Linked DNA regions of Callithrix jacchus. The protein of the gene in region 2 binds, or shares a complex with, the protein of the main gene of each other region. Links are inferred from orthologs where the notes say so. Each region holds a gene or a part of one and is shown on either strand. Other genes may lie near its edges.

Region 1 (6,290 bases), on a different chromosome or scaffold from region 2:
TAAGAGTCTTCTTTGCTTCCACTCCCTACAGTGTTTTTGAAGATTAATATCAGTTCTGCCTTTATTTGCTTCTTTTGGCAGTGTAAAATCATTTGGTTTTACTTGGCTCTTATCTTAGTCCCTTCATTTCCTTACTACCAAGGAGGCAGTAAGGAATGCTTGATTACAGTATTGTCTTCTACATTTTATTGCTCTCTGTAGGCTTAGAACTAGTATATCATAATATCTTCAAAGGGTTTTAGATGGGTAGCCTGCTTTTTAACAGCTTCCCTATGGGCCTTTCTGCCTGGCTCTTGGAACTCTTTCTAACCCAGCATATCCCCATTTCCCTCATAGACTCACAGCACAATAGGAGAGATGCTCAGGAACTTGCGAGAAGAGGTAAACTGGAGCCCATAGTCCATTTGTTCCCAGTGTGTCAGTAGCCGAGCCTTTCCTTGGTCAGGAGTCTCAAAGGGTGTCCCTTTCACCGTATGAAGGAAGATATACATAGCCTGGGAACATGGAGGGTGGTAGTGTGAGGGGCAGAAAGTAGTTCTTCAGTCCAAGAATGATGTTAAGATCCCAAAAGGAAGATACAAATCCCCAAACAATTAGTAATTTTATTTTGCTTGTGGTTGGGAAACTCTGGGATGGGCACAAGGGCATGGTTTACTGCTCACCAGGTTGTGGATGACGTTGGTCAGGGTCCAGACAACAGGAATGCTGAAGAAAGGGATGCTGAGTAGAACCATATGTAGCAGTCCTACCAAGATGACGTAGGCCAGCCAGATGCCTCGGCTATTCATCACTCGAGTGTTGGGGTTTACTTCGCTGTGTGCCACCCCCACATTCATCCTAGTCATAATGGGGGATCAGGTAGGGTCCAACTCATTTTTTTCTCAGCCCCTCTTCGAGCTTTCTCCCAGCTGTCTCTCAGATTCCCTGAACTCTATTGGGAATGAAGAACTTCCCCATCACGCAGAAAATAAAAACTGAAGACTTGGGGAAAACTTTAAAAGGCAAGAAGAATCCTCACTACATTTTAGAGACATAGTCATTTTCTCACTGATCTTTACGTTTCAACTGTAACATGAAGGTGTATGCGTAGGCTTGGGGCACTCACTTCAGGGAGCAAGGGAAACAGGAAATCTCACTTTCCTGAAGAAGTTAACCATGAAGAGGTCACGCACACCCAGAATTCCAGGAGAAAGTCATGGAATCATCAAAGAACCACTAAGAAGGGATGACAGAGTAAAGCTCTAGTCCCAACCTGTTCTCTGGGGCTTGTCCACCCTGTCTCACCTCCGTGGCATGTCAGCAGTCAGCATCCCCACTGCTTCTCTCAAGCGTGGGGCACGACAACAACTTGCCCACGCCTTCTGGACTGGGTTAGGAAGGAACCTGAGCTCAACGTTTCGAGAGATGGAGCCTTAGCTCTGACTCCAGGGGCGGCAGTGATCAACTGAACTCGGATCTTTAAAATTGTGGTAGCTCTAAAGCTGATGATGTCTGGTTAGGAAGCGGCTCTTGCCCGCCCCAGCCACCCGCCAGTTCCTTAAGCCCGCCCCATTCCCTCCCAGCTTCCTCCTCTCATGTTCGTCGGTTTTTTTCAGGGCTCCCTTCAGCATTCGTTTCTCAGCATTTAAGTCACCGCTTCCTCGGCGCCCCTTTCGCCTCCCACCATATTTCCTTAGCAACCTTTCTAGTCCTCGCGGCCCCTACCTGCCAGCTTCAGATCCCTGTCTGCTTATGGGCGAGGCGCCGGCTACCACATCTGAAGTCTCCAGGAAGTGACTCCTCTCCGTCTGCCCCTTCCCTATTGGAGGAACATAATCAGCGGTTGGTGATATGTGATGCAGACGCACAATTGGTTGCCATTTCTGTCGTTCGTAAGATAAGTGCCCGCCCCTCTCTCTGTCCCCCCTTTTGAAAGAGGTGGGGAAAGCTGCCGAGAGACATGAGGGACGTCAGCTATTGACCAATGGGAAGAGCTGATGGTATGTAGTGGGAGCAAGAGTGGCAACGATTGGTCAGCCTTGCATCTCTACGCCTAAGGCGGGAGCTCCTGGAGGCGGAGGCAGCGGGTGGGGGCTTAGCGGAGTGAGGGGTAACAAGATGGCGACCGAGACGGTGGAGCTCCATAAGCTGAAGGTACCGTAAATCGGGGAAGGGCTCAGTTGGACTTTTCTGGGAACTGAATTCTGCACAGTGACTTGCGTCTTCTCCTACGTGTTCTCCTTGCAGCCTTTTCTACTTTGTTTCTTGGCTCCCGCCGTAGCTCTTTTGTGCCACCCTTCCACACTACGCCTTCCCTAATTTTCCATTTCTCCTCACGGTTTTACTGCTATATTTTTTTGTTATTTCTGTTCCCTTCATCCTTGTATCGTCCGTCACCCTTGTCCACCAGGTTGTAAGTGCCTTCTACCTGTTATACTCCTCGTTGCTCTTCTGGTCTGCATTACGTCAGTTGGTCCCTCCTCTTTGCCCCACGTCGGACCCAGGATCCCTTTTTCTTCCCTGGAATTATGTTTCCAGTCTGTCTTCTGAAGCTGAGACTCGCCTATTATATTAGCAGATGGTGGCATTTTTGTGTGTCGCTATTTGAATAGATCCCAGACACTCCCCTTTTCTAGGTGGGATTACGCCACCAGGGAGAATTTTGAAACCAGGGAAAGGCCTCACCTTAGAAGCCTGGGGTTGAGGAGGCCTTGAGATAGAAGTACAGACACCTCAGATTTAAAAGTTTTCCAGTTCTCTCACGCGGTTCTCCACTTGCCAGCCTTCCTCACACACCGTCTCCTACCACCAGAGAGAATTCATACCTGCAGTATTTGGGAAAAACAGTTCCAAGGTTAAGATTATCTCTGTTCCATTTCATATCTCAATGGGCTCTGCATCTCCTGGTGTTTTACCATTGGGTGACACTGAATCACAGAAGCTATTTTAAATTGTCTTATGAGAATCTTGGTAGTTTTCTCATACTTGGATTATTATTTTCCTGAAAGAGAGAGTATTTATTTAAGGTAGATTGCAAACAACTAAGAGAGATAAAAAAGTTAAAAAATATATTAAAAAGAAAATTTCAAAGAGTATTTTCTTTTAGGGTAAACTAATCTTGATTAATTCTCTGTGGTTTCACAGGTAGATTTCCTATTGGATGTTTTGGACAAACCAGGCTGATACAGCTGAAACTGAAAAGTGATCCTTTAAAGCTTGAAGTGTTTTTTTGTTTGTTTTTGTTGTTAAGAAAGCTTAAGGGTAGGGAGAGGACCTTTGTTTAGTCACTTATTAGTTGACCCCTATTAGTCTTTCTGTGAAAGCTGATATTTTTCTTACTCTTGGATTCTAAACTCTGTTTAGTGGGTTTTTGTGTTATTCTCAAGTTATTGTTAACTTGGTGGTACTGAAATGCATAGACTATCAGTGGTTTCCTGATAATTATTGTGATGAGTAAAAGAAAAATTGAGCAATAATCTCCACTTGGTGTATATATACTGTACTTATAGAAATTGTATGCTTCTGTACCATTATAAAACATAGAAAAGGAATTTTTGAATGAGACAAAAAGGAACTATGCATAGAAGACTTAATATTTTCTTTCTATTTGTCTTTTTTTTTTTTTTTTTTTTGAGACAAAGTCTCACTGTGTAGCCCAGGCTGGAGAGTGCAGTGGTGGAGTCTCAGCTCACTGCTCCCTCCACCTCCCAGGTTCAAGCGATTCTCCTGCCTCAGCCTCCTGAGCGGCTGGGACTACAGGCATGTGCTACTATGCCTGGCTAATTTTTATATTTTTAGTGAGATGGGGTTTCACCATATTGGCCAGGCTGGTGTCGAACTCCTGACCTTGTGATATGCCCACCTTGGCCTCCCGAAGTTCTGGGATTACAGGCATGAGCCACCACACTATTTATCCTATTTTTGAAATCCCTGGAGTAAGTCACCAGCTGCCCCATGACTTACTTGTTTTTATAATTGTGTTTGTTTATGGAGTTCCTCCTTCCATCAAATCTGTGTTTGTCAGATCTATATTAAACTTGTATTTGACTGGATAAGTAACTTTTACATAAAGTCCTCTGACCTGATTTCAGTGTTGCAGTCTAAGAAAACATTAGGCACTCCTGACAGCCTAAAAAGGACTCACTCTTTAATCACATTTGCTTGTCTTTGCTTTTTCTCTAGAGCACTTCTTAACCTTTTGGAGGTCACAGATATCTTTGAAACTCTGATGAAAGGTATGGACCCTCTCTCGCCAGAAAAAGGCATGTACACGTACTTTGCATGCAGTTTGAGGGGCTTCATAAAACTACCTTGTAGCCCTGAGGAGTCCATGGACCTCTGGTTAAGAACTCATGCCTTCGACCAGGCATGGTGGCTCATGCCTATAATCCTAGCACTTTGGGAGACTGAGATGGGTGGATTGCTTGAGGCCAGGAGTTGGAGACCAGCCTGGGCAACATGGCGAAACCCCACCTCTACTCAAAATGCAAAAATTAGCCAGGCATGGTAGTGCGTGTCTGTAGTTCCAGCTACTGGGAAGGCTGAGGCACAAGAATCGCATGAGCCCCGGGGTGGAGGTTGCAATGAGCCTGGATTGTGCCACTGCTCTCCAGCCTGGCGGACAGTGAGACTCTGTCTCAAAAAGAAAAAAAGAACTCATGCCTTTGATTCTGATATTTAGGACGTTTATGTTTGGTTCCACTGGTGATCTTGATGTAATGATCCTGACTTCTAGGTTGACTTGAGGTTTTATTGCCTTTAAAAAAAAATCTTGGCTGGGTGCAGTGATCCATACTTGTAATCCCAGCACTTTGGGAGGCTGAGGCCAGGAGTTTGAGACTAGCTTAGGCAACATAGTGAGACCCTGTCTCTACAAAATATTAAAAAATTAGCTGGGCATGGTGGCGCACACTTGTAGTTTCAGAGCAGTGACTGACACCTGTCATCCCAACATTTTGGGAGGCTGAGGCCAGGAGTTCGAGACTAGCTTAGGTAACAATAGTGCGACCCTGTCTCTGCAAAAGATTAAAAAATTAGCTGGGCATAGTGGTGCACACCTGTAGTCCCAGCTCCTTGCAAAGCTAAGGTGGGAGGATCACTTGAACCTGGGAGGTTGAGGCTGCAGTGAGCTGTGTGATGATTGCTCCGCTGCACATCAGCCTGGGTGACAGAAGGAGACCTTGTCTCAAAAAAAAAAGAAGAAAAAGAAAAAAAATCTGTCCATTGTCATTAAGAGAATTTTGGGCTTTGGTATGGAACCTCAGAGGAATGGAATATGCTTTGAAGTAGGAAGGAAACATAGTATCATGTATCTGAATTGATACATGACATCATTTTAGCAGCAAATTCCTGAGAATTTTGTAGAAACCCAGTCTTTTTTTTTAATTGAGATGGAGCCCTGCTCTGTCGCCCAGGCTGGAGTGCAGTAGCTTGATCTCAGCTCACTGTAACCTCCACCTCCCAAGTTTAGTGCCTCAGCCTCCCTAGTAGCTGGGATTATAGGCATGTGCCTCCATGCCAAGCTAATTTTTGTATTTTTAATAGAGATGGGGTTTCACCATGTTGTTGGCCCGGCTGGTCTCAAACTCCTGACCTCTGGATTATAGGTGTGAGCCACTGTGCCTGGCCCATTCTAACACAATTGGAAAGAGAGATTGAACTGTGGGTGAAAATGCCTTGAACTGTAACAGTATCAGATTTCCAGTCAAATATCAGAAAAAAAAAAGTATTGAAGAGGGGAGGAGAGCTGTAGTAATGTCAGAGTGCTGAAAACAGTGAGACATTTGTATTGAATAGTAAAATGAGTAAATATGTTGGTAGTTGAAGATAGTTTGGAAAGGAAAATAGGTAAACTAACCATAAAGGTAAATCAGAGTGGTATTGAAAAGGGCTTTCTAAGTTGTGTAAGGATTTCTGACCCTTGTCATGTAATGATAAGTAGGGCTGGGACCCTTTGGAAGTTTGAAAGGAGGAACTTAGGGGCCGGGTGCAGTGGCTCACGCCTGTAATCCCGGCACTTTGGGAGGCCGAGGTGGGTGGATCACGAGGTCATCAGATCGAGACCGTCCTGATCAATATGGTGAAATCCCTTCTCTACTAAAAATACAAAAAATTGGCTGGGCGTGGTGGCGCGTGCCTGTAATCCCAGTTACTCAGGAGGCTGAGGCAGGAGAATTGCCTGAACCCAGGAGGCGGAGGTTGCTGTGAGCCGAGATCGCGCCATTGCACTCCAGCCTGCGTAACAAGAGCGAAACTCCGTCTCAAAAAAAAAAAAGAAAGGAGGAACTTGATGTGATCAGTTTGTTTTCTTG
Region 2 (4,187 bases):
CTCAAAGAAAAAAAGAAAACACACACATACACCTTGGTAGTCACTTATGGCTCGAGACTGAAGGGACCGTAGAATTTATTTTCTTTTATATTGACTGATGGCTTTATGGATAATCAGGTTTGCTAGGACCTTGGTTTTGTTCAGGGCTATTGCTGTTCCTTTTTCCTTTGAAGGAATTTAATTCTCTGAGATGTAGTCTTAATGATTTTCTTTTGAGAAAAAATTCTTTAAAATACTCTGTCTCTGGAGTGTGTCCCTGTCCTCATACATGGCCCTGAGTTTTGTGATTACAGCTCATCTGAATAATTCTGACAAGTTTGGCTGGCACTCTGTGGAGATACATTTGATTTACATGTTTATTTTGAATTTAAGGTCATCATACTATTTTAAAGGAGCTGTTTGCAAGGGCAGGCTTGGAATTAAGGATTTCTAAGAAACGAAAGGAGATTTGACTTTCTTGTGTTTATTTACATCTTAAGGTAAAAAGTGGACCGTCTGGAGATAGATTCTCAGAGGAAAAACGGAGCACACGGGCCTCTTTGAGAAATCAATCTTGTTCTTAAGTCACAAGAACTCAAGTAAACTTGTCGTTTAAGTTTTGCCCAGAGTGTGATGAACTCTTCCTTTGGTGTTTGAGTAAGCCTTTGAAGACAGTGCTAGTTGGTGGGCAGGTATGAATCAAGTCGTATCATTGTCAGCCTGTAGTTCAAAAGCAGTACAATCCAGATTGAACTATAGAAATGTTCTTACTAAAACTTTGAACTGGCAGTGTATGACTTCTGTAGCCAGACTAGTGAGGTAATTTGTGGAGATGTCCATTTCATGAGACCACACTTGAGCTTTTTGAAGTTTCAGCTCTGGATCAAAATTCTGCTTCTTGTCTAACATGTTCCGAGGCAAAGGCTTGCTTCTGGTTTGGGGTCCTTATGACACCACAGCAGGTTTATCTCCCTTCACACCAGCATCTCACTTGCTGCTTTCTCTCTGCACTTTGAGTTGCTAGATCCTGTTGGATTGCTTTTTTGATCTCAATCCCCTAACACCTTTTCTTCCAGAAGAGCTTAAAGCAGCGCCTGGGTAAGAGTAACATCCAGGCACGGTTAGGCCGACCCATAGGGGCCCTGGCCAGGGGAGCAATCGGAGGACGAGGCCTACCCATAATCCAGAGAGGCTTGCCCAGAGGAGGACTACGTGGGGGACGTGCCACCAGAACCCTGCTTAGGGGCGGGATGTCGCTCCGAGGTCAGTGCTGTGTACCCTGATAATTGTCAGGCCCTACTCCCTTCCCTTTTCTCTTGGGCTGCTTATGGACACGTTCGTTTAACATCTTTAAGCCTGAATTTGTATGACTATAATAACTTTTGAAATCACATATTTTTAATAGTGCTGCATGTCTTTTATCGATACCATTCCTTTTCTGATAATGTGCAATGGTGAGAGGCTATGACCTGCGTAACAACAGGTAATTCATGTCATCTCCATTCCATTTTGAAACACCCTGCTGCTGCTTGAATCAAACCACATTCAAGTAATAGAAATAAGTCAAATGTAAGAAACTTAGGTCTTTTGGCCTATGTCTTCACTCTTTGTTCCTGGTGCTAGTAAAACACTGATACAGCTGGAAAAAGAGGACAAGTTGACCCATAGCACTTACCTGTATATGTTTATTTGGGGCACTCTTACTCTGTTCCCTGTATAGTTCTTGCTCCCTAGAAGAATGTGTTGAGATCAGGAACCATAGCATTTATTTTTAAATTTACCACAATGCTAGACATCTGATTGTTTAGTAGATATTTATTGAATATATGTACTTATTAATTGAAATAATTCCCAACTTCTTCCAAAAATGGATTTGTGGTCAGATGTGTTGAATTGATTGGATAAAGAGCAGCTTAACCTGTTCACACTCAGTATGCAGCTTGCCCCAACCAACCTAAAAACTAACTGAATTACCCTCATTTAACCCTCACCTCCTACCTTTGGTTAGAATCTACTTTGTGTCTCTTGGATTTACCTGCATATACATTGTATGCCTCCTCTCCAAGGTCAAAACCTGCTCCGAGGTGGACGAGCCGTAGCTCCCCGAATGGGCTTAAGAAGAGGTGGTGTTCGAGGTCGTGGAGGTCCTGGGAGAGGGGGCCTAGGGCGTGGAGCTATGGGTCGTGGCGGAATCGGTGGTAGAGGTTAGTCAGCTACCAACTTCAGAGAGTAGCTCCCTCTTATTTTCCTCCCTTAAAAACTCAGAGCCACCTTTTTGCACAGCTTCAAGTCATAGGCAGGCTTCTTTGTTTGTCTTGTTTTGTTATTTGAAACTGGCTTATTTTTCAAATTCCCATGCTGGTAGTGCAAAAGTCTCATGATTTTTCCAGGAATCAATCAAGTGCATATTACAGAGCCAGATTATATGCTGTCTTCTTCCTGGTTCTTGCAAATTTAAATTGTACAGTTAAAAATACCCCCTAAAATGGTCAGTTTAGGATTTTACCTTCCTGTCTCAGCCCCACCACCACACACTACCCTGTAGCTCCAAATCCTGGTTTGAGTCACATGAGAATATAGAAGAGAGAGAGATACAAAGATGGAGCAGAGTTAAGAGGGTGGTGAGACTTGGAGCTGGGCATTTGCTCTGAAACCAGATAAATTCAGTGTCAAATTTGTGCCTGTGGAGAACCAGAGATGACTTTTTTTGCTTAAGGTAGAGAGCAAGATGGAATTATTATCAGTTAACACTGGCTCTTGTTCATCTTGCCTTTGAAATTTATTATGTTTGTCTCATGACCGTGACCCAGATTAGGAAAGAGTTTAATGGTGTTGCTACTAATACTAAATCTCATGGGAGCGCTCTGGTCTAGAGCTCAGTGGGAAACTCCCAACAACACCTCATGGGAGCCCTCTGGTTTAGAGCTCAGTGGGAAACTCCCAACCACACCTGTCAAGGAAAAAAAAACACTCTTGTTGCTCCTGTGTATATTTGCTTTGGTTCTCTTAAAAGGTGTTGCAGGTCTTCCATAACTAATGACCTTGAAATTGCCAAGGAATAATAACTGTTAGGAAAGAAAAGCTGATAACCAAGGGCTTGTTTTCTTCTCTCCTGTTATATGCTACTTGGCTTATTGAATGAAGTACAAGCTAGTTTGCGTTTCAGGATAAAATAGCATGTTTGCTAAGTGAATTCAAACTACTTCTCAGATAAACAAAATTGTCCGTTGTCATAAGGTAACTAGAATTAGAGGTAGAAATAGCTGGGGCAACTCAAAATATTTTTTTTTCTTATATTTTTTCTTTCTTTTTTTTTTTGAGACGCAGTTTCGCATGTTGCCCAGGCTGGAGTGCAGTGGCTATTCACAGGCGTGATCCCACTACTGCAAAATATTTTTTCAAGTCCCTTCCATTGTTCCTCTGTGAGAAAAACTCCAGTCTCCTGACACATGAGGTCAACTAGCTTATTAGACTTGATAAGTTTAAAGAAAGATGAGATAACGTTCCAGAAGGGTTTCTGATAAACTTAATTTGAAAACCATCTTACTTTACACCCTGATTATCTGTACCCTTGTTACCACCTGCCTATCTTACTAAACAAGGTTATGTATTTTAATTATAAACTTAGTGAATCTCAAATCTTAGGTTCAGTTAAGGTTTTCTTTTTTAACTATAGTTGTCAGTTAATTACTTTCCTTTTTTGATAGAATAATAATTGTTCAAATAGCATTTAGAGATGATCCTGTGACAAGGGATTCATTATGTGTGCTTTCCATGTGTGGCTTTCTACCCAGTGTCTTTCCTGTTTTCCACATTTCTCCTCTTTCCCTGCCCTTCAGCTTTTCTCAGCTAGGCCCTGCAACTCTAAGGGGCATTTACTATAGCACCTATTAAACTTATTTGTAACTGTCTCTCTTTTTTTTTTTTTTTTTCTCCTTTGGGCCAGGTCGGGGTATGATAGGTCGGGGAAGAGGGGGCTTTGGAGGCCGAGGCCGAGGCCGTGGACGAGGGAGAGGTGCCCTTGCTCGCCCTGTATTGACCAAGGAGCAGCTGGACAACCAATTGGATGCATACATGTCGAAAACAAAAGGACACCTGGATGCTGAGTTGGATGCCTACATGGCGCAGACAGATCCCGAAACCAATGATTGAAGCCTGCCCACCCTGCCATGAGAGACTCTTGTTAGTCCACACGTCTGTAAATAGCC
Region 3 (6,081 bases), on a different chromosome or scaffold from region 2:
GGGGTGGTGAATCACCTCTGAGGCCTGGGCTCCTGCAGGGTTCAGGGGAGCCTTCCAAGGTGTCTGGTTGCCCTGCTTCTGGCCTCAGAACAGAAAGGGAGCCTTAAGCTGGCTCACACAAACAGCTGACACTGACTAAGGAACTGCAGCATTTGCACAAGGAGGTGTCCTCCTCCCTAGAGGCCCTGGGGGCTAGGCTGACTTGGAGGACCGACAGACACTAGGCCCCACTCACTCAGACGTCCTGAAATTCCACCACAGGGGTCACCAGCCTGGGGGGTTAGGGACCTATTTTTAACACTAGGGGGCTGGCCCACTAGGAGGGCTGGCCCTAAGATACAGACCCCCCCAACTCCCTAAAGAGGGGAGGAGATATTTATTTTGGGGAGAGTTCGGAGGGGAGGGAGAATTTATTAATAAAGGAATCTTTAACTTTAAATGGTTTGGAGAGGCAGTGATCCCCGACTGACTCCCCTGAGCTGGAGGGAGGGAGTGAGTCAGCCAGCCACGGGGGCGGGGGTGAGGCTCTGACTCACACATTCTCAATGCCTGGAACTCAGCCGGCCAGGACCTGGCTGGCCCTAACAGTTTTCCAGGGAAGATCTTGAGGAGAAACCCCAGCATCCTGCACCTCTGCCCTCTCCACCATCCCCAAAAGCCCCAGGTTCCAGTTGGAAGCCTTTCTTTGCTCAGAAATCTTTATTCAGTTCTTGGGGGTGGGATGCCTCCCTGCCCATGCTCCCACCCTCTCATCCCAGAGCTCCATTGGGCTCAGAGTCCTCTGTTGAGGGAAGGTCTTGGTGCCTGGTCTGGAGGAGAGGGAGGCTCCTTGTCCCTTTGCGGGAGTCGCTGGTCTCTTCTGTTGTGGGGACGAAGGAAGCTGGGAGGGGCGCTGTCCACTAGCACTCAGAGCTCCATTATGTCCCCAGCTGGGGTCGAAGGGTAGGAGGGACTGGGGATGTCCCCCAGCCTCAGCAACCGGAGGGCTTCAGGGATGAGGCTGCCAGGGTATCGCCAGAGAAGCAGCTCAGAGCAAGAGCTCCTAGAAGAGGAAATGATAGTCGGCAAGGGGGCTGAGGCGGCCTAACTGAGCACCTCCCACCAGGTCCAGGTCCCCAGGGGCTCCCGGGTTCTCAGCACTTTCCAAAGAGCCAAGATGGGAAACAACCCAGAGGTCAGCTAGAGCTAAAAATGGCACGATGAGGCAGGGCCTGAGGTCAGCTCTGAGAACCGCCTGTGATCCTGCAGAAAGCCTGGCCAGTGGAGGAGCCTACCTGAGTGGGGGCAGGGCCGGGGGGAAGGTCATAGGGGGGCTGCAGTAGGGGTGATCATTGTGCAGGCTGAGTTGAGAGAAATGGGTGGCCATGTTCTCCTCAGACAAAAACTGCTTGCGCAGAGGCTCCCTGGGGAGAGATGAAAGAGAGGGAGGCTGGGAAACTGAGACAGGAGACAGCGTGTTGGGGACCAGAGGTGACAGAGATCTTGTTGGGAGTCCCTCCCTGCCCCCCAAACTCACTGCTCCTCCTCCAGGCGCCGCTTGGTGCTCAGGGGCACAGCTCCTCGGAGAGGGGAGCTGGGAAAAAAAGAGAGCCTGGTGCACCCCACCCTCTTGGCCCCTTCCCAAGGATCTGCCCGCCTGAGCCTGCAGCATCAGCCAGGAGCCCCAAGCCCATTCCTGTCTCAGGTGGTGCTTGTCCCCTCTCTTCTGGGCCATCCAGCAGCGTACCTCGAAAGTCTCGACCTTGAGCCGAAGACCCAATCCGGTCTCAGTTTACACCTAAGCCCCGCCGATTCGCCCTACACCGTGTCCATCTGCAGACCAGCCCTGAGCACCCAGCCAAAGCTCCTGCGGCCCTTGGTCAGGCCCACCCTGGTCCCCTACACGCACCTAGCGTCCAGGCCGCGAGTCACCCCCAAGGCGGCCCGCGGGAGGCGCTGGGCCCCACCCTGCGGGCCTCGCTCCAAGGGCTGCTCCAGGATCATTGGGTTTTGGGGTCCTGCGGGTGGGATCTGGGCGACGGAGGCGGAGTCTCTGAGGGCGTGGCCCAACGCGAAGGGGTGTGGCTTTAGGCGTGCGCAGCTGCGAGGTTCTGCGCGGGCGCGGAAGACGTGGGGCGCGTGGCGGAAGGCGGGCCTGTTCCTCGGGGTGGGGGAAGGGATCGGCTTAGCGGAACTGCGGTGGGCGTCACTTCTTAGTGTCGGGGGTTTTCGTGGTGCTCACCTCGGCTCCTGGGGTTCAGTACAGTACGCAGCAGTCACCTTCGCGCCGAAGGCGGCAGGGCGCCGCGAGGAGTAACCGCTCTAGGAACGTACGGCATCGTGAGATTGCGTTGCGCGCGAGCACTCTGGGACTTGTAGTTCTGGAGATGGAGCGAGCTGTGCCGCTCGCGGTGCCTCTGGGTCAGGTGAGACGGACGTGGTGCGCGGTGCCTTCTGGGGTTTGTAGTCCATGCATGACTTGGACAGGGCGGGCAGGGAATAGTGCCCCGAGCCCTGTTTTGCTAGGGCTGTTTGTGGGACTCAGATTATGACCGGGTCGGGGGGTGGGGCGGGAAAGTAACCAATAAGGCCTCAGGGGCTTAACGCAAGTCAGAGAATAGGGATTACAAGTCAGTACGTTTTTCTATGTTGGGGTAGTAGAGCCACTTTTTTTTTTTTTTTTTTTTAAATCGGGCTGGTCTTGAACTCCTGACCTCAGGTGATCCACCCACCTCTGCCTCCCAAGGTGCTAGGATTACAGGCGTGAGCCAGCGCGCCCAGCCGAGCAGAACCACTTTTTAAACACTTTTTTTTTTTTTTTTTTTGAGACCGAGTCTGTCCCCAGGCTGGGGTGCAATGGTGAGATCTCGGCTCACTGCAACTTGTGCCTCCCAGGTTCAAGCGATTCTCCTGCCTCAGCCTACAGAGTAGCTGGGCCTACAGGCATGTGCCACCACGGCCAGCTAATTTTTGTGTTTTTAGTAAAGACAGGATTTCACCATGTTGGCCAGGCTGGTCTCAAACTCCTGACCTCAGGTAATCTGCCTGTCTTGGCCTCCCAAAGTGCTGGGATTACAGGTGTGAGCCACCGTGCCTGGCCAAATTTTTAAATTTTTTTTTTTTTGTAGAGATAGAGTCTCACTATGTTTCCCAGGCTGCTCTCGAACTCCTGGCATCAAGCGATCCTCCCGCCTCAGCCTCCCAGATCGCTGGGATTACAGGCTTGAGCCATGGCACCTGGCTTAAGCACTGAGTGACAGCTTTGTGCAAAGCTCTGTCTATACACTAGCTCATCTAATCGTGACAATCTCCTGTGAGCTCCATTTGAAAGTTGAGGAAGCTGGTAGGAGAGGCTTGGGTGTTTGCTCAGAGGTTCATGAGGCGTCACACCTCAACTCTCCCCTTCTTCAGTGTCTTCTTGGAGCCACCTATGGGACTGCATGGGCAGGTGCTGGCTGCTGCAAAAGAGGTCTGAGAAGTCAGGACAGTGGGAGGCCTGGCAGGTGTAGCGGGGAAGCAGGGAGGAGTCTGTGGATGGGAGGTTTCAGATGTCCCAGGCAGGCCTCATCCAGTCTTTCCTTGCAGGCAGAGGTGTTCCAGGCCTTGCAGCGGCTCCATATGACCATCTTCTCCCAAAGCGTCTCACCGTGTGGGAAGTTTCTGGCAGCTGGCAACAATTATGGGCAGATCGCCATCTTTAGGTACCCTCTGCTGCCGTCCACCCATTAGCCCTGGCACTTGGTCTTCATGGGACAGATGCCCCTGTTTCTGACTCCTGGGTCCCCTCCATTGTCCCCTGCAGCTTGTCTGCTGCTTTGAGCTCGGAAGCCAAAGAGGAAAGTAAGAAGCCGGTGGTGACTTTCCAAGGTGGGTCTAGCTGTGGAGTCTGGCTTCGGGGCTTTGGGTGGGATCGGCTGACTTACTTCCGGATTTCTCTTCAGCCCATGATGGGCCGGTCTACAGCATGGTCTCCACAGATCGACATCTGCTCAGTGCTGGGGATGGGGAGGTGAAGGCCTGGCTTTGGGTGGAGATGCTCAAGAAGGTAAGGAGTGAGGCTGGGGCAAGGGCTGGGGTACCCAGACCCAAAAAGGGCCTTTGAGGTCGCCTCATGTTTTTCCTTTTGAAGGGCTGTAAGGAGCTGTGGTGCCGTCAGCCTCCATACAGGTGAGCCAGGGCCACGTGGATAGAGGGCGCATGGGGGTGAAGGCACTCCCTCACTTACCCTGACTTTCCTCCCCCAGGACCAGCCTGGAAGTGCCTGAGATCAATGCTTTGCTGCTGGTCCCCAAGGTCTGAGCCCCATGTGACTGTTGTTGGTCCAAACTTTGATTCTTCACTCTCTGCCTTTCCTGATTTGACACTGACTTCCTGCCTCACCCTCCTCCTTCACAGGAGAATTCTCTCATCCTGGCTGGGGGAGACTGTCAGCTGCACACTATGGACCTTGAAACTGGGACCTTCACGGTGAGCAGGGGCTTGGAGCCCTAGAGCAGGTCCAGGCCAGGGAGAGGCACTCTTCCTAGATCTCCTCACATTGCCCCTCTACTGCAGCGGGTCCTCCGGGGCCACACAGACTACATCCATTGCCTGGCATTGAGAGAAAGGAGCCCAGAGGTGCTGTCGGGTGGTGAGGATGGAGCTGTTCGACTTTGGGGTAAGGAGGTGGCTGGCTGGAGGGCAAGATGGCAGTGAGGGAGGCTGAGGCTCGTGGGGCACTACTTAGGGTGGGTTCTTTCCCTGCAGACTTGCGCACAGCCAAGGAGGTCCAGACAATCGAGGTCTATAAGCACGAGGTGAGGGTGTGACCGTGGCCATTGTCCTCTTTCCCAGAAACTCCTTTAACCCTCTAGGACTTCACCTCTTTCCCTCCTCCCCTTCCCCTCCCAGGAGTGCTCCAGGCCCCACAATGGGCGCTGGATCGGATGTTTGGCAACTGATTCTGACTGGATGGTGAGCTGGGCAGACTGTGGGACAGGTTGGCAGCTTCGGGCCTTGTCGGCTGTCGGCCTGTAGCTCACAGCTGGGGACTCCCACCTTTCTGTCCAGGTCTGTGGAGGGGGCCCAGCCCTCACCCTCTGGCACCTGCGATCCTCCACACCCACCACCATCTTCCCCATGCGGGCGCCACAGAAGCACGTCACCTTCTACCAGGACCTGGTGAGTCCCTCTGTCTCGTCTGCCACCCCCATTGGCTCTCCCCTCCAGCCCTGACCCCTGAGCACCTTCCTTGTCCTCTGCAGATTCTGTCTGCGGGCCAGGGCCGCTGTGTCAACCAGTGGCAGCTGAGCGGGGAGCTGAAGGCCCAGGTGCCTGGCTCCTCCCCAGGGCTGCTCAGCCTCAGCCTCAACCAGCAGCCAGCCGCGCCCGAGTGCAAGGTGGGTCTGGTGGCAGGGGCCTCAGGCGGCTGGGAGGCAGGGGAATGGGCAGGCCAGTCATGCCCCTCTCTCCTCCAGGTCCTCACAGCTGCAGGCAACAGCTGTCGGGTGGACGTCTTCACCAACCTGGGCTACCGAGCCTTCTCCCTGTCTTTCTGACCTCTGACCACACCCCCAGCCAGCAAGGGTTTTAGAATGTTTTTCTTTTTCTTTTTTTTTTTAACAATAAAGTTTCAGGCTTTTCTTCCATACTCGCTCTTTCCACGAATGGAGGCCAAATAGGTGGCGTGATTTACATATTACTCTCTCCGATCTTGATACATAAATACCCAGCCCCATCCCTGCCTTAGAAATACCCCATAAATCCCGGCCCTGGAGAAGACAGACCTATATTGATTCGGAAAATCGACAGCTGTTCACCTGCCCCTGCCACCCACCTGGAGCTTCTGCCCCAGAAAGCTGGCTCCGCTCCCGATGAGCCCTTGCCCATCCTCCTGGGGTGGGGAGGGCATCAGCTCCTCTCGGAAGCCAATCCGTGCCCTGGGGATCCATTGGTCAGAAGAGGAAAGTGGGCCCTTAAGCGGGCAAGGGCAGCCCCCTGGGCCCCGCCGTCAGGTCCTTCGGAAGAGGTTGCTGAGAAAGCCGCCGGCGGGCCCGGGGCCCAGGCGCAGCGAGAAGCGGGGCGCGGCGCGGCGCGGGGTCGACGAGGACGCGGCGGCGCTCA
Region 4 (5,505 bases), on a different chromosome or scaffold from region 2:
CAACCACTATATCATTCTAATCCATTTTTACACATATACCTGTATCACTGAATAATATACAGTATTGGTATATAATATTTGAAAGGGGGTTCTAACTTTTATAAATTGTTATTATTCTATATGTGTTTCAGAAATTTAATAATAATTTTAAATTTATTATGTTTTTTCACTGATTATGTTTTGAGGAGTGTGTTTGAACAGTACAAAACTAGTTTATTCTTTTTTTTTTTTTTGAGACGGAGTTTCGCTCTTGTTACCCAGGCTGGAGTGCAATGGCGTGATCTCAGCTCACCGCAACCTCCGCCTCTTGGGTTCAGGCAATTCTCCCATCTCAGCCTCCCAAGTAGCTGGGATTACAGGCACGCGCCACTGTGCCCAGCTAATTTTTTTGTATTTTTAGTAGAGACGGGGTTTCACCATGTTGACCAGGATGGTCTCGATTTCTCGACCTCATGATTCCCCCGCCTCAGCCTCCCAAAATGCTGGTATCACAGGCGTGAGCCACCGCGCCCGGCCTAGTTTATTCTTTTTAACTGATATTTAATATTTTAATATATGAAGACCACATTTTATTTGTCCACTCTATTTGTCCATATTACATGCATTTATTTTAGACATATAGGTGGTAAGGTCAGAGGAAAATAAAATCTAACAGAGAAGTATTGGGAAATATAATATCGAAGACCTGAACCCTCCTTTTGAAACATATTTATTTCTGCAAAAATGAAATGCCTAGGGTAGTGTATCAGCATTTATGTATAAAGGTTAGTTCCTTTCAAAGTAAAGCTCTACACTTACTTTAATGTCTCATGCCTGTCTGGATGATGCTGGATCACTTTTGCCAAAGCATCATATTCTGAAAGACATAAAAATGTTTATCAAACTAAGGGCTTATCAAAACAAAATGTGTAATATCACAAGCCTCTCCTAACCACTTCCCTAGTACATCAAGAAATGAAATCATTGAAAGATGAGTATTGCCAGTTCTAGTTGACTGAGTTATAACTATAATGACACATAACATCAAAAGTGTTCTAAACAGGGATTTTAGCTCCCTAAACTTCAGCACTTTTTTTCCATTTATATGTTCTGGACAGAACATAAGAGGTCAGCATAAAAATAAGTGAACTTAAGTTATTACTGATTATCAAATAGACTGATTCTGAGAAGGATCTTACTCACTAGTTGTCCAAAAAAAAAAAGAAGAAAATCAGTGAATATATCCATCCATTAATTTGAGATGTTAGTCAACAGCAAATTACACTTCTCACTCATTCTAAAAGTTAAGATTTCAGAAACTTACAAATAACTTAAAATTCAAGTTCTACTTTCTGCTCCACTGAGACCTCCAAGATAAGTCATGTAACTCCTGTTAACCTTTCTTCTGAAGTGATGAATGACAAGATTTACTTAAAAGTCTCATTAACTAACAAAAACACTGCAAAATATTTTTAAATGACTTTAGAACTGATACTAAGTTGGTATATCTTACTGTAAATAGGGCACTAAAACTTCACCACACACATTTTAGACTGAAAAAATAAACTTTTAAAAAGAGGAAATTAATCTTCATCTTAACTAGTTAATTAAAAAGTACAATTCATTGTTTTAGAACTGATGCTATTAATTCAATAAAAGTATGATTTTTTTAAATACAATTTTTTTGAATTACAAAAGAATACATGTCCTGTGTAAAATAAAACAAAACAAAACCAGAGAAAACCTAAGCCATAAAAACCCACCACTTCAAAATAACCACTAACATTTTCTATTTTCTTCTAGTTTTTCCTATCAGTGTAACAGTTGTGATTATAAATTATGATTTTTATTTTTGCTTTTCTTCAATTTATATTATAGGAGTAGTGCCTCTAACATTAAAAATTATCTGGAAACAGCATTTAGGAACTACATAAGAACATACTCTAACTTAACAAGAGATTATAACAAAACTCAACTTTAACTTTCTTATTAGATATTCTAGATAGTCTATAAATATTTGCTTGCTTCATAGTTAATGAAAACTCACAGAGTTTAAATTCTTTTTCATTCATTTTTTGGAAAGTAGCTCTATTAAGCAAACAAACAAAAAAACCCAAATCATATATCTAGTGTATTTATGTAAATTGCCTCTGCTGATTAACTATTACATTATTTAGGCAAAAAGCTCCAAGATGGTAAAAATTTAATGCTTAAGAAATACTGGGAAAAGAAAAAAACAAAAGGAGAAAAACAGAAAAGAAATACTTGGATAATCAGTGTAATCCAGCAAAAACATTTTTTTCAACACAGACTTCTTTCTCTATTTTAAAGAATAACATAGTTTTAAAGAATTAAATTTGGATAATTTTTAAAAATCCAGGTTGATTCAGGCTGCTGAAGATTTTTCCTCACAACATTAAAAATTGCATGAAAATAGTAGTCAGTAATAAAGTATTTGCATATTAAATCCCTCAAAACTCTTACCTTGGCGATTTTTTCGTATTCGTTTTGCTTGAAGAATTTGCTTTTTGCACTCAGCAATTTTTTCATGTGCTCCAGCAATGCTACATTCTATATAAGAAGGTTTTAAAACTTAGTTGTAACAATATCAATAATCCATGTTCAATTTTAAAATGCATTTATAAATTAAATTCTATTGCTAACAAAATAGACACTAGTATTAAAGTACCATATATTAGAATGCATATTTTTGTAGCTAACATTTGCTGTATTCTTTCTATTAATACTGTAATTATTATTCTTTTACCACCAACCAAAGAAAATTGTTAGCAGATATTGTTTCCTTTATACCATACAAAATAAAATTACAGATAGAAACATTAATATTCTTTACCTATTTCCTTGTAAATTTTTTCATAATTTTCCATTTCTCTGAGATTCATATCATATACTAGTAAAGTTTTGCCCATTGAAAATTCACATTGAGACAGTGTGCTCAGCATACGCTGGTACTGGCTATATCTAATGAGAAAGAGAGAAAACCAAAATAAAGATGTTTGTAGACTGACAAAACTGAACTATTATAATGCAGGCAAATATTTGCTAATTAAATAAGTTCTTTGAGAGTCATTTGCTTATTTAAAATAATTCAGAATATCTGTTCCTTAAGTTTTCTTTTTATCAAATGTAGCACACCTGAATTTATAAACTAGTTACACATGCAAAGATGAGACTGTTGTTCTTATCAGTGTATGCTTTATTCAAATAATTATTTGCATTTTGTTTAAAATACATTATGAATTTTTTATCTTCACAATTCTGTCTCCAGAATTTACTCTATAAAATTATTTATGTGAAAAGCAAAGTTTACTATATATATATATATATATATATATATATATATATACACACACACACACACACACACAAATACATACATACAGTTGGGCATGGTAGCTCATGCCTGTAATTCTGGCATTTTAGGAAGTCAAGGTGGGCAGATTACTTGAAGCCAGGAGTTCAACATCAGCCTGGCCAACATGGTGAAATCCCATCTCTACTAAAAATACAAAAATTAGTCAGGCATGGTGGTGCATGCCTATAATCCCAGCAACTCGGGAGGCTGAGGCACTTGTACTGCTTGAACCTGAGAGGCAGAGGTTGCAGTGAGCTGAGACTGCACAATGGCACTCCAGCCTCAGCAATAGAATGAGACTCTGCGTCAAAAAAAAAAAAGATTTTGTGTGTGTGTGTGTGTATGTATCAAGTTGGTGCAAAACTTAAAGATATTGGCAAAAACCATGATTACTTTTGTGCCAACTTACTACATACATATACTTATTAAACACTTATATCCTAATGGGTCTGAATTTAATCTTCATTTCTCCTTACCAATCTGCCTTCTCTATGTTTATTAAACATATGGGAGGCCTCTGAAGAAAAGAAAAGGCCAAGAAAATCTACTCTTAATTAAGAGTTGACTCCACTGGACATTTAAGGTGAATAAAAATTTGATCTATTCACAGGACCTTAATGTATGGTCTAAAATCACATTAGGACATGGGTATAGAAACAACAGTGAAATAAAATACCCTTCTTCCTGGGACCCAGAGTTGCACCATTTAATGAAACTCTTCACTAGCAGATTAATTCTCCGATCATCTCCAGCACCATCTCCATCAATGAGGAGACGCTTCCGTATGACTTCGTCTGCAGGAAAGAAGAGCAATGCTACCATCTGGCTCTTGGTAACTTTCAAATACAAATAACCAATATCACTGTTCAATTGTTTATTCAAAAGAAAATTATTGAAATGCAAATGTATTTAATGCCACTGAACTGTACACTTAAAAATGGCTAGCTAAAATGGTAAATTTTATGTTATGCATGTTTTATATTGCATATAATAAAAATATTTATATAGTAATGGAAAAAAACGTTATTGCATGACTACCGTGTGTCAGGTACTGTTCTAGGGGCTGAAATAATAGCAGTGAAAAGACATCCTTACAGAGTTGGCAGTCTACTGGGTTGTTGAGTGGAAATAATTTTCAGATACAATCAAGGAAATAAGCCAATAATTCTTAGAAAACTTTTGTGAAACAATTTGCCCAGACAGACAGAAATCCAAATATTTATGTCTCTGGCCAGTGAAAGGCACTGATAAAATGAATAGACAAGAAATATTTAAAAGATGTAGTGGCAAACTAGGAAAAAAGAATAGGTCAGGGAAAAAGGAATGAATTTGTTAAATAAACATATAATTTAAGGCTGGGTGTGGTGGCTCATGCCTGTAACCTCAACAGTTTGGGAGGCTGAGGTAGGAGTATCACTTGAGCCAAGGAGTTCCAGACCAGCCTTAGCAACACAGTAAGACTCTGACTCTACAAAAAACAAAAATCAGCTGGATGTGGTGGCACGTGCCTATTAGGCCCAGTAACTTGGGAGGTTGAGGAAGGAGGATCACTTGAGCCTAGGAGATCAAGGCTGCAGTGAGGCATGATCTCACCACTGCACTCCAGCGCCTATAGGCAACAAAGCAAGATGCTGTTTCCAAAACAAATACTATATATATCATATATTATAAATATATAAACATATTATATATTTATATTATAATTTACAAATATTTATATTATTTTATATATAACATATATTATTTACTATATAATACATTATTTATATAATATATTATTTATACAAATATAAATATGTATAATATAATGCATATTATATATAATACATACATATTATATACATGTATTATATATATACATATTATATACATATGTATGTATTACATATATATTTAGTTATCTGTAAGGTTTCTTTCCCCATGAGAATTTTTTTTAAACAATACTTTTGCCCCAAGGAAAAGAAAAAAAAAAAAGCAGTGTAGATGACAATGATGACCAACAAGTGAGGTCCCAATCTATCTGCCTGGCAGTCCTGAGCTAGTGTTCTTACCCAGACGAAATAATCCTGGATCATAACAAGAGCAAGGCAAATTAAAACCACAGTAAAATATAATTTTTCACCTAATAGATAAGCAAAAATCAAAACATC

The links.
Region 1: CHTOP (region 2) and SARNP share a complex: the UniProt entries of both Homo sapiens proteins name them as parts of the transcription/export (TREX) complex. The link is inferred for Callithrix jacchus from reciprocal best matches to the Homo sapiens genes CHTOP and SARNP.
Region 3: CHTOP (region 2) and THOC6 share a complex: the UniProt entries of both Homo sapiens proteins name them as parts of the transcription/export (TREX) complex. The link is inferred for Callithrix jacchus from reciprocal best matches to the Homo sapiens genes CHTOP and THOC6.
Region 4: CHTOP (region 2) and THOC7 share a complex: the UniProt entries of both Homo sapiens proteins name them as parts of the transcription/export (TREX) complex. The link is inferred for Callithrix jacchus from reciprocal best matches to the Homo sapiens genes CHTOP and THOC7.

Annotation. Positions count from the first base shown.
Region 1 is NC_133510.1:63,833,510-63,839,799, forward strand, and holds the start of SARNP (SAP domain-containing ribonucleoprotein), read left to right. Parts: upstream 1-2,084; 5' UTR 2,085-2,097; coding exon of another isoform or gene 2,098-2,133; intron 2,134-4,161; 5' UTR 4,162-4,207; coding exon of another isoform or gene 4,208-4,214; exon of another isoform or gene 4,215-4,241; intron 4,242-6,290. Other genes in the region: ORMDL2 (ORM1-like protein 2), read right to left, coding at 343-494, 663-836. UniProt on the Homo sapiens protein: Binds both single-stranded and double-stranded DNA with higher affinity for the single-stranded form. Specifically binds to scaffold/matrix attachment region DNA. Also binds single-stranded RNA. Enhances RNA unwinding activity of DDX39A.
Region 2 is NC_133519.1:14,062,287-14,066,473, forward strand, and holds part of CHTOP (chromatin target of PRMT1 protein), read left to right. Parts: intron 1-1,055; coding exon 1,056-1,242; intron 1,243-2,045; coding exon 2,046-2,183; intron 2,184-3,925; coding exon 3,926-4,131; 3' UTR 4,132-4,187. UniProt on the Homo sapiens protein: Plays an important role in the ligand-dependent activation of estrogen receptor target genes. May play a role in the silencing of fetal globin genes.
Region 3 is NC_133513.1:5,170,077-5,176,157, forward strand, and holds THOC6 (THO complex subunit 6), read left to right. Parts: upstream 1-2,084; 5' UTR 2,085-2,366; coding exon 2,367-2,405; intron 2,406-3,390; exon of another isoform or gene 3,391-3,409; coding exon of another isoform or gene 3,410-3,448; intron 3,449-3,564; coding exon 3,565-3,680; intron 3,681-3,781; coding exon 3,782-3,846; intron 3,847-3,920; coding exon 3,921-4,024; intron 4,025-4,108; coding exon 4,109-4,146; intron 4,147-4,223; coding exon 4,224-4,272; intron 4,273-4,374; coding exon 4,375-4,446; intron 4,447-4,533; coding exon 4,534-4,636; intron 4,637-4,725; coding exon 4,726-4,775; intron 4,776-4,869; coding exon 4,870-4,932; intron 4,933-5,028; coding exon 5,029-5,139; intron 5,140-5,222; coding exon 5,223-5,357; intron 5,358-5,435; coding exon 5,436-5,516; 3' UTR 5,517-5,608; downstream 5,609-6,081. Other genes in the region: HCFC1R1 (host cell factor C1 regulator 1), read right to left, coding at 907-1,042, 1,275-1,403, 1,517-1,573, 1,889-1,983; BICDL2 (BICD family-like cargo adapter 2), read right to left, coding at 5,969-6,081. UniProt on the Homo sapiens protein: Component of the THO subcomplex of the TREX complex which is thought to couple mRNA transcription, processing and nuclear export, and which specifically associates with spliced mRNA and not with unspliced pre-mRNA.
Region 4 is NC_133516.1:45,609,817-45,615,321, forward strand, and holds part of THOC7 (THO complex subunit 7), read right to left. Parts: intron 4,150-5,505; coding exon 4,032-4,149; intron 2,962-4,031; coding exon 2,834-2,961; intron 2,551-2,833; coding exon 2,464-2,550; intron 857-2,463; coding exon 799-856; intron 1-798. UniProt on the Homo sapiens protein: Component of the THO subcomplex of the TREX complex which is thought to couple mRNA transcription, processing and nuclear export, and which specifically associates with spliced mRNA and not with unspliced pre-mRNA.